Cricetulus griseus: one gene and its partners. The protein of the gene in region 3 interacts with the protein of the main gene of each other region in a pairwise test. Links are inferred from orthologs where the notes say so. Each region holds a gene or a part of one and is shown on either strand. Other genes may lie near its edges.

Region 1 (3,747 bases), on a different chromosome or scaffold from region 3:
GCACAGCAACCCAGCAGTGGGCATCCTACAACAGGCACTAGATACCATCTTACCCATCATCTAATGCTCTGCAGCAGATTAGCAATTACAGAGTAAGTTTCAAATCACAGAATCCCAAAGCCCTCCACAAGCTGATGTGAAGGAGGGGCTCCAGCTTTTACTATATCCCAATCTTTTACATTTCTCTTTCAGGTACTTTTCTCCTGATTACAGAATGAATGATTTTAAAACTGAAGATTCTAAAATATACAATATGAACGCTAATAACACCAGCAACGGGGAATCCTCTCTTTTAACTCCTCCCCACAAACGTTGCAAAGTTGACCTTACTAGAAATAACATTCTTTGGGGCTAGAGAGATGGCTCAGCTGTTAAGAACACTAGCTGCTCTTCCAGAGGACCTGGGTTCAATTCCCAGTACCCACATGGCAGTTTGTAACTGTCTATATCTATAGTTCCAGGGATCTGACACCATCATACCTATGCACATAAAATAAAGTTAAATAAATTATTTTTTTAAAAAAAATAGCATTCTTCATAGAACTCTTCATGGGTAAGGTCTCTGGATCTATGCGTTAATTTTTCTAATCATTACCTAACATCAACACTAGAGGGCAGAAGAGGCATGCAGTGGACCGGTTATAGTCACTTATGAGGACAAAAGGGATGGTAGGACACTCAAATAAAATACAAAGTAAAACTTTGACATCTAACTCATACTTGAAACGAAAGAGTAACTGCCATAATAAAACACATGAATGAAGCTGATGCCATTTCAATTTTATTCAGTCAGAAAAACCACAAGGGAAGAATTTTAGTTTGGTTTACTGATGACTCCAAATGTCCCAAACCTACTTGACTCATAGATAACTATTGCTGAATCAGTGATCTGAGGCATTACATATTTGAGAAAAATACTACAAGATGCTAATACTAGCATCCAGGACAAGTTGAGAGATGCCAGGCAAGTGAGTTTGGCGAATGCTTCCTCATCTGTGGGAATGGAAAGAGTGCGATAACTAAGTTTAAGATAAAAAGCATAGCTAAGAATGGTCCCTAGAACAGAGGAAATGCTCTGTAAATATTAAATAAACAAATTTGGTTCAAAATAAATACAATTTTTACTCCCAAACTCAAAAGTCGTAGTGTTGGAAAACTAACTCGAACGATAAGCTCAAACACGTTTCACCAACCGGGGTGATGACAATGGAGAGGCTGAGGCAGAATGACAAGACAGATACAGCAAAACATCACCTTTAAAAACAAAGTTACCAAATACCTACTTATTCCATATTTCCTCTTTTGGAAAGACATCTTTGTGAAGTACTTGGAACAAGGCCTGGAGCTAAAGACTTCTTTGCCAGCTATTATTAAGCTGTTATTATTAAGGCTTTTTTTTTCCTTGTGTAGTGTTGGGGATAGAACTGTATGTGTATGTGCTACGCCCAGTCCTCTACCAACGTGTTACGGGGGGGGGGGTTAGTTAATCCCCTCAACAAATGAAGTTACCCGGAAGAGTTTGCCAAATGTCTGCGTTTGCGGGTAAAATGGCACCAAGTTATGAAATGTTTTCTAAATATAAAGTGCTGTAGTGGTTAGGAGAAACGCATTATTCGTGAACGATCGCTTCCTGCAGTGAGTGTGGGCACCGGGTACAGTCCTGCTCTCTTAAGAGATGAACTTCACACGGAAAACCGCTTCGGCTAGCCTCGATAGCGAGAAGCAGATCGAGGTCACTGAAACGCCCCGGAAAGCCCAAACCACAAAACCGGCTCCAGACGAACCCGGGAGACCAACGGCCAGGGGACACGGTGAGTGCAAGCAGGGCCAGCCAGGGGGACGACGTAGGAGGCATGAAGGCCAGAGGTGGGCCAAGGGAGCCCTGCCGTCACCGCCGCCTACCTCCGCCCGGGCCGAGGCCCGAGCCCCGCCGAGCCTTCCTCCTCCGGCCAGCCGCGGTTCGCAGGGCAGGCCAGACCCGGCTTCACAAACAGCCGGCCGCGTCGCCAAAGGCCGCCGCCGCCCCGCCCTCCCGGCCCTCCCGGCTCTCCAGGCCCTCACCTCCCGGGCGGCCGCCGAAGATCGCGCTAGGTCCCGGGCGCCACTGCGAACAGGTCCGAGGCTGCGGTCGCGGCCGCTGGGAGCTTCCGGTGCGCTGAGCGCCTCCAAGGACTTCGTGATTGGCAGGCCTCGGGAGCTGTGCGTCTTTGAGTCCGACACCGAGGGGAAAACACATCCGCTCAGCCTGAAGCCGCTACTAAGCGCTGAAGAGAGCGCCCGGAGCCGCCATCTTGTAACTCGAAATACCCCCTCAGAACCAATTCAAGGAAAAAAAAAGGAGAAAAAAACGCCCGCGTCCAACTACTACGCAAGCGCGTCGGAGCCCCAGCCGCCAGCGCAGCGTCCGAAGGGCCGCCGGGTGTCACGTGGCTCACGGGCACGCCCCCTTGGAAACGGTCGCTGGGAGGAGCGTGAGTTTCGCGCATGGGCGTAGAGACCGCGGGCTGTGGAGGTTGAGCCGGCGCCACTGGCAGCGCGGGTTAAGCACGTTGGTCACGTGTCAGCCGCCGCTCGGGTTTGAGACGGTTCGCGCGCTAATTGCTGCTGAGGCGCGGGCGGGACGAATGTCTGGCCCGCGGGAGACTCTGGTGGAGGCCTCTGATGGTGTGCTGGGCGGCTGAGGAGGCAGGCAGTGGATCTGAGGGAATGTGAGGCTTGTGCCGCGTGCTTCTCTCGTGGGTGGCTCTGCGGGGGTCTCAGCCTGCGGGGCTTGAACGCTGAAAGTTGTGGCTTGGGGCTGGAGAGTCCCGAGGCACAGACTCTCAAAGGTCGCCTGTTCCCCATTGTTGTTACGTGATAGACATCCTCGATTTCCTCGTGGGGAGCTGCTGAGGTGAAGTCGACTTCCCCAAAGCTGCAGGACCAGTAGGGACCCACGGGAGATAAAGTCCCCGGAGGGATTCTTCAGCTGCAGGACGAACACCTGGATTAGGACTCCTGTTTCTGTGCTTTTAGCTGGCTACCGCACTCCCAAGCAGTGGAGTTCAGTTATACAAAGGGAGTCCGGATGGTCGAATTCTTTTACAGTTTAAATGACAGAAGACACTATGGTCATTAGACCCATCATTAACATCTAGAAACTATTTTCAGAAAAATAAGCATTTCTAGAGCAATAGTTCCTAACTAAAAAGGGTATTGCTAATGCAAATACTCCTCCAGAGATAATTTAAGTGTCTGAAACCAGCCAGGTCATGTTGACTTCCAACTAAAGTCACAGTTACTGGAAGGCTTAGGCAAGAGGAACAACCCAGGCCAGTCTGAGAAACAAAAACCCTCCCTCAGTAATACATACCAGAGCTGGACATGGTGGTACAGGTTTATAATCCTAGCACTTGAAGACTAAGAGGTAGGCAGATCTCTGCGTTCCAGGCTAGCTTGATCTACATAGTTCCAGGTCAGCCAGAGCTACACAGTAAGACCCTGTCTCAAAAACACAGCAACAAAATTAACCCAAAAGGGGTGGCGTGTAGCTCAGAAGCAAAGCACTTGCCTAGCACCTGTGAGGCCCTAGGTTCAAGCCCCAGTACTACCAAACAAAACCATAAGTAAATTGGAGGTGGTAGCCCCCCACACACACCGTAATTCTAACTACTAAGTATTGATGAGCAAAAGCCCATCTAAAAGCCAAATTCTTTGGAGTTAGATGTCAGTGTGAATGAACCCTGCCTGCATTCTTCAGGGTTATAG
Region 2 (3,747 bases), on a different chromosome or scaffold from region 3:
TTCTCGCCGGCTGAGAAAAAGTTTTAAAATGTATTTTAGGCTATACTACCAAAAAAAAAAAAAAAGTTCCCACTAAGATTTAGATAAACTCCTTAAACGACACTTTAAATGATCAAGCCAACCAAGAGTTCAAAAATCACCTGGCACTTACTAAAATACAAAATCTAAGCCTGGCAGTGGTAGCACATGCCTTTTGCCTTTAATCCCAGCACTTGAAAGAGACAGGTGGATCTGAAATTGAGGCTAGCCTGGTGTACAGAGCTAGTTCCAAGACAGCCTGGGCTACACAAGGAACCCCCCCCCAAAAAAAACAAAATCTAGGTAACAATTATGACTCAATTAGAAACTGGTAGTAAAGAGCACAGCAATCTGTTCAAATTAGAATACTTTAAACAGAAAATCAGCTTTTGTCTTTTGAGAACTGTAAAGACTTAACCAGGAGCCTATACCCACTGTAGTTTTTCAAAATCTTTACTGAAACACCTGTGGTTTTACTACACCTGAACGTTGTTTTTTAATCAGCCAATTCTCCAGTAAATCTAGTTTCAAAACCATAAATCTTCCGATGAGTTGAGTGTATGAAGCTTTAGCAAATAATGAGACGAACAAACACTTAGGTTTCTCTATGTAGCTTTGTACACCAGAGATCCACCTGCCTCTGCCTCCCATTCAGAAATCCACATTTCTAACACTTTTGAAGGACTAAAAATAGAGGAAACAAGGTCTCACCAGGCCTGAGAATTCTTTGTAGACCAGACTGGCCTCAAAATCATAAGCTATCAGCGAGTTCCGCTGGACTGAAGTTGTGCCCCACCATACCTGGCCTGTATGTCTAACATTTAATGGCAGGTGTTTTTAACCAATCTCAACTACTGCCAGTAGTCTTCTTGCATACTAATTTCCGACACTTATTTACAACACTATTTTTGATGGATGCCTTCCTAGCTATTTCTCTTACCCATTTCTCACTTCACCAGAGCAAAATCTTACTCTTAAATTCTACTTCTAAGGCACACCTTAAAATGATGAGGCTTGGCAGGCAGTGATGGTCACATTTAATCCTAGCACTTGAAGAGGCAGAGGCAGGCAGATTTGGTCTACAAAGCAAGTTCCAGGACAGCCAGAAGTCATACAAAGAAACCCTACCTTGAAAAAACAAACAAATGGCTCGGAGGCGGGGCAGGCCTTTGATCCCAGGATCAGGAGGATACAGAGGCAGGCGGCTCTACCAGACCAGCCTGGTCTAAAGAGGGAATTCCAGGACAGGCTCAAAAGCTAAAGGGAGAAAATAGGTCCCCAAAAAATAAAAATTAAAACAAAAAATTAACTCCCAGATAAACTGACACCCTACACTATTAGTGCTGGGGATTAAATTAAGGGCACCTTGCATCCTAAGCACTACCACTGGGCTACATTAGCAACAGCTGTAACAAATGGCTGGGAGTTAATAGTTTGGGGGGGGGGTTCGAGACAGGGTTTCTCTGTGTAGCTTTGGAGCCTATCCTAGAACTCAGAGATCCGCCTGCCTCTGCCTCCCGAGTGCTGGGATTGAAGGCGTGCGCCACCAACGCCCGGCCCAGAGGGTTGCTTTTTTAAAAACTGCTTTGGAGCTCTCCTCTGTTTTAAAAACAAACAGCCAAAAACAAACAAACAAAAAAAAAAACCAAGATTTTACTGTGTAGTTCTGGGCTGGCTTGCAATGGATACTGATCCTCCTCCTGTCTCATGGCCTCTGGAATGCAAGAATTACAGGCATGCAATACCACACCTGGCTGGAAACTCCTTATTACCAAGTTTAGAACTGATAGGATATTGGAATATCCGGAAAAGACTATTTTGGTTTTGCTCCGGTTACCTTTAATTTCGCTATCAGCTTCCCCTAAAAACTCGATTGTCTTTTTCGTACACAGTATTCCAGTATTCTTTACCTACCTAAAAATATCTTAGTCGCTCTAATTTAGTAAATACTGTCAACCAATTTACCTATCGTTTCTCTCTCAAGACAGCAGTACCTACCTCAAGCAAAGTCCCACTAACATATATTTCAAGTAATTCGTAATCTGCAGATTAAAAGGTAAGTTGCAATTTTATTGCAATTTTAATTAACCCGTGACACTTCCCTTTTACAGAAAACACTCCGCCTTCTACCATTTATTCCTACGGGAGAAAAAGTAATGAATACTCGATCTATTGTTAACACGCCGCTCGGATGCCATGTGGCCCGCCCGGAATTTGGAAGCTTCCAGTACATCATCAGCGTAACGCTCCGCCACCCCCGCCCGACGTTGAACTTAGAAGACTTAATAACGGAATCGTTAAGACATTAAACCTCAATTAGGGTAACAAGCTTGCATTTCTTCCTTTTCACGCTCCCCTCTCCGAGTCCTGGCGGTCGAAGGCAGGCAAAGTGGCCGTTAGACACGAGCGCGCCGGCAGGGTATCCTCCGCGCCGCCCGCGGCCTGGAGGTCACCAGGCTGAACCTGCGCCAGAGCCGAGGCCTGGCGCCGCCCGACTTAGACCCGGTCCCCGGGCCACGGGAACCAACGCGGGCGCCGTTCCTGCCGCCAGGCCGTTCGCTCCCACACCCGCTCGCAGCGCCCACGAACCCGCGCCTCCCCTGCACTCGGCCCCTCCGCTTACCAAGAGTTCGGAGAGAGAGAGAGAAGACACTGCCTCTCCTACTGCGGCTCCGTGCGGAGACTCCGAAGCGACTGCAGGCAGGCAGCACACGACCGTTCGCTCTCCGGCGCTCCACAAAATGGCCCCCGAGCTCCTCTGCCGCCGAGGCGAAGGTCCAGCCCCGCCCCGCTCCTGGGGGCGTTCCTATTGGCTGAGCCTTTTCTCGCTCCCGCTCCTCATTAGATGGCGCTACCGCTCCTCACAGTGCTAGCCAATCGCGATCGGGAGTAGGTTGGTCTAGTTGCGAGAATTTCCACCTGCGTCACCGAAGCTCGTTAGTAATTGGTGGAGCTTCCTGTCACTTAGGGTATGAAGGATGGTCATTGGCCACTGTACCAGACGGAAAACTGGGTGGAATGTTCGCCTTTGTATCGCGCACAGCTTCTCATCCGGGTACCGGCGGGCCTGACTGACGCCGCGTCGGCCTATCGGCGCTTAGTGGACTGCCTAGATCCGCCCTGATCACTGCATTTCCGCGGCGCGGGGGTGGTAAAGTCTGGGTGGAGTCTGGTAGCGGGTGCAAAGGGCCTGCCCTCGCCCCGGGCCTAGGAAAAGGAAAACCAAAGTAAGCCTGAGCGTGGGGAAGAGAGTAATCCCTAGACCGCCTGGAGTGTAGATAAGACAGACCTGCAGTTTTTTTCAATTTCAGATCCTTCTCATTTCCACATTGTGTGAGCTGCCGGGAGGAGGTGGCCTCTCAGCCCACGAGGCTAGACAGCTCCTTCCAAACCTAGTCCTCTCCTGTTACCTGGACCCCTCCAAGTCGGTTGCAAAATCTGCAAACCGAATGGCCGGCCACCTCAATTTCCGATTTCCTGCAATAGTCTGACGGCCACTCAATCCCCTCAGGCCTGGCCTGCCAGTGAATTTCTGGTTATTCTGGAGGAACCTTGAGCACACCAAAATGTATACAGCCCCCTTAGAAAGGGAGATATTACCCCAAGGAGATACACTAGATCTAGGAAAGTCTGATTTAAATTTGGGGAAGGGGGATGTTGATTTTTGGGAGTGTTGATTTGGGGCTTTTTTTTTTTTTTTTTTTTTGGCCAGGTAGTGATGACGGTGCA
Region 3 (3,747 bases):
AGAAACCCTGTGGGGAACATGGGGGCGGATCTTTTTCCCCAGGGGCTATGCATTGATCCTGCAGGGGACCAAATGCAATCCACAGCACCCACATTATTAGGTGGCTTATACCTGCCTGTAACTCCAGTTTAGGGGACATAACCTCTCTGGCCTCCTGCACATACTCAGACACAAACACAAATACACTTCTTAAAAAACTAAAAATCTTAAAAAAAACAAAGAATTGTCATACATTCAACAGTCAAAAGTAGATTACCAGGCATGTCCAAGAATTTTTACATTTAGCCAGCAGTGGTGGCTCATGCCTTTTATCCCAGTACTCCTAAGGCAAAAAGGCTGGTGGATCTGAGTCCAAGGCCAGCCTGGTTGACAAAGCCAAGGCCACACAAAGAAATTTTGTCTAGAAACCAATCCCCCTCAAAAAAAAAATTCTAATTTCTAAGAGACATTTATTCTTTTTTGGGGGGAGCACAAGCCTCTAATCCCAGCAATCAGGAAGCAAAGGCAGGCAGATCTCTGCAGAGTTCCAGGACAGCCACAGCAGTTATACAGGGAGGGAGAGCACTGTCTAGGTATGTACCTGATTGTTTCGGTTTTCCTGCAAAGGAGAAGTAGCATCGTCGGGAAATGAGCTGACATTTCTCCTTTTCAGCATCTGGTCATCTTTCTTCGCTTTCCTCAGTTCCACATTAACTTCTATTCGGCGGCGCCGCATTTCCTGAGGAAAAGACAACACAACACCTCATTTTATCTATAAGCTTTTCCTGACAAGTCATTTCTTTAAACCCCTCAAAGGTCAGCAAGAGATGGCTCATTGTCTAAAAGGCACCTGCCACCAAGTCTCAGGACTTCAATCCTGCAGAGTCAGGCGGAGGAGGGAACCATTGCCTGCAAGCTGTCATTCTCACCTCTGCATTTGCACCAGGTATGCACAGACACACAATAAATAAGACTAGAGATAAAACTCAGGAATAAAGAACCCATCTAACATCAGTAAGGCACTGGATTCAATCCCTAAAATGTGTTATATAAACACCCCTTCTTATTTCCATTTAAAAGTGTCGACAGAAGGTACTCACTGTACTGTCTTTCCCCTTGTTCTTGAATCTGTTAAGCCGGGCAGCTGGTGAATTAGCATTCTCGTTGGTGGACATGGTTACAGGAATCCGGGAGAAAGCTAGTAGACAAGGGAGGGTGAGAAAAAAAAGAGCACTTTTTAAATAAGAATACAGCAGAAGCCAGGCGGGGCATACTAACATTCGCCTTTAATCATAGCACCAGGGAGGCAGAGGAAGGCGGGTCTCTTGAGTTTAAGGCCAACTAGAATATAAAAATCAAAGCCGAGCGTGGGTGGCGCACGCCTTTAATCCCAGCACTCGCCTTTAATCCCAGCACTCGGCAGAGACAGGCCGATCTCTGTGAGTTCCAGGCCAGCCTGGTCTCCAGAGCAAGTGCCAAGATAGGCTGCAAAGCTACAGAGAAACCCTGTCTCGAAAAACCAAATAAATAAATAAAATAAAAATCAACTATATATTGACTCCATCTGTATGCTAGACAAGAAAAACCCACAAGCTTTCAGTTTTATGGCTACAGCATTAAGTCCAGTGGTTAAGTGCTCCTCCTGCAAAGGGATTAAACTTCTGGCAACGCAGCTGTCAATCAGAAACAGGTTTTTAATCAAACATTTAAATTTTCCACTAACCACATTTTTAAAAGGCTAAAAAGCAACAAATGAAATTAACATAGAAAAATAAACATGTTTCACCGTTTTAATACACCTTCAGAATCCTATGTGTAGTTTATGCACGCAGAGCATCTCAACTCAGATTATCGGCTTTTCACAAACTCAATGACCTAAAGCCTCTGGCCAGCGCGGTATTAAGCCGGGGCTCCACATTCTGGACACCGACTAGGGGCACCCCGCCTGGTTTTTAGTTAACAATCTACCTCCTTAAGGCAATAAAGGCACTTCTGGTCTTTTTCTGTTGATTCATGGCCCGAATGCATACACATACATCAGGCACCTTCCATCAGGTTACACAGCGACTTGGCTGGTTGCGTTACAGAGCCTTCCACAACCCTCGCTGTCAGCAGTGACATTGGCACCGCGTCTTCAGCGTCCCGCACGCCCTGGACAGGACAGGCTTTCCGGTCTGTGCATTCAATTCGAGTGACACCAGCCGTGGACACTGTCTGGGGCTCGACTTTCTATCGCAGGCGTGATCGCCACAATGTGACAATCTGCTACCGAGGCGAAAACCTCGGGAACTTCCTCCCCGAGGCTGGCGCCGGCGGCCCGGCTCAAGCGTCTCACGGGGGAGTCCTAACTGCCACCACTCCGCCTCCGCCTCCGCTCCAGCCCACAGCCCCGACCCTCCCCGGGCAGAAGCGGCGGGAAAGCGGCGGAGAGGCAGCCGGGTGCGCTCGTCTGCGGCCGGTGTCCCCGACGCCGCCCCTCGCGGGGCCTGCGCCGCCCTCCGCAGCGACCGGTGCGGCCAGGCCTGGCACCGGCACCGGCACGGCGGAACCACCCCGCCCCGCGGCCTCGTCTGGGCACGGAGGCCCAGCACACGCCCGGCGCGGCCTGCTCCCGCCTTCCCGCCCGCTCCGCGTTCCGGCCGGCCGTTACCGTCCAGGCCCGGCCGCGGCTCCCACCTGCTCAGCCGGCTCAGGCGTCCACGAAAGGCGGTGCGGGGCTCTCAGCCTGCGGGGTCGGCGGCCCTCGAAACGTCCACTGCGCCTCAGCCCTCAGACTTTGTGCCTCGTGCTGCCGGCCGGCGCGATTTAAATTTCCCGGTGACGCCGCATCCCGATTGGCTGGTTTGAGCCTAAGCTGTGCGTTCATTGGCGGATTTGAAAAACACGTTGGGGGGGGCACGGACGCCGGGCCTGGGGGAGGGAGGAGGTGGGGGTGGGGTGGAGGGGAGGGTAGCATCGCGAGATGAGGGAGCGGCCGGACAATCCCAGAGTGCCTTGCAAGAGTGGTGATCCCGGAGCTCGGCGCGCGACGCTGAAGGGTGTGTGTCGTCTCTGCCTAGGCGGGACGCTGGGCAGAGCCCTGTTTGCTCTCTCTGGGGCCTGCCCTTAAGCAAATACACGGAATTATTATTAGACGCGTTATCTTAAAAAATAAAAGTTTAGCCTGGCGTAATTGGCGTAGGCAGAGGCAGGAGGATTGCTGTGAGTTCAAGGCGAGCTTGTCTACATAGTGAGGCCAGCCAGGGTTACATGGTGAGACCCCGTCTGAAAAAGGACCCACCAAAATAATAACAAATGCTTAACATAAATACATTGATTTTCATTTTTTTTCCTCATCGAAACACCAGAGGTTTAGCAGGGGCTGGTCACTGGGAGAAAGGAGTGAAGCAGATCTGTGTGGCTCTTTTAATAATCATTGTGTGTAGTGTATTAATTATTATGTTGTTTTTTTAAGATTTATTATTATGTATACAGCTTTATGTCTGCATATGATCCTGCACACAAGAAGAGGGCACCAGATCTCATAATGGATGGTTGTGAGCCACCATATGGTTGCTGGGAATTGAACTCAGGACCTCTGGAAGAGTAGTTGGTGCTCTTAACCTCTGAGCAATCTCTCTAGCCCCCTATTATTATGTTGTTGTTTTTACTGTTTATTGATTATTTATTTATTTGTTTATTTATTTTGGTTTTTCGAGACACGGTTTCTCTGTGGCTTTGGAGTCTGTCCTGTAACTTGCTCTTGTAGACCAGGCTGGCTTTGAACTC

What was found. The genes of interacting proteins can lie anywhere in the genome.
Region 1: the proteins of Kpna2 (region 3) and Nup50 interact in binary tests that used the Homo sapiens proteins (3 or more experiments, as listed by UniProt). The two-hybrid records come from large-scale screens. The link is inferred for Cricetulus griseus from reciprocal best matches to the Homo sapiens genes KPNA2 and NUP50.
Region 2: the proteins of Kpna2 (region 3) and Hnrnpc interact in binary tests that used the Homo sapiens proteins (3 or more experiments, as listed by UniProt). The link is inferred for Cricetulus griseus from reciprocal best matches to the Homo sapiens genes KPNA2 and HNRNPC.

The regions. Positions count from the first base shown.
Region 1 is NC_048595.1:381,763,953-381,767,699, reverse strand, and holds the start of Nup50 (nuclear pore complex protein Nup50), read right to left. Parts: upstream 2,200-3,747; 5' UTR 2,062-2,199; intron 1-2,061. UniProt on the Homo sapiens protein: Component of the nuclear pore complex that has a direct role in nuclear protein import. Actively displaces NLSs from importin-alpha, and facilitates disassembly of the importin-alpha:beta-cargo complex and importin recycling.
Region 2 is NW_023276807.1:207,170,406-207,174,152, forward strand, and holds the start of Hnrnpc (heterogeneous nuclear ribonucleoproteins C1/C2), read right to left. Parts: upstream 2,798-3,747; 5' UTR 2,642-2,797; intron 1-2,641. UniProt on the Homo sapiens protein: Binds pre-mRNA and nucleates the assembly of 40S hnRNP particles. Interacts with poly-U tracts in the 3'-UTR or 5'-UTR of mRNA and modulates the stability and the level of translation of bound mRNA molecules. Single HNRNPC tetramers bind 230-240 nucleotides.
Region 3 is NC_048600.1:119,948,338-119,952,084, forward strand, and holds the start of Kpna2 (importin subunit alpha-1), read right to left. Parts: upstream 2,796-3,747; 5' UTR 2,656-2,795; intron 1,178-2,655; 5' UTR 1,155-1,177; coding exon 1,080-1,154; intron 719-1,079; coding exon 581-718; intron 1-580.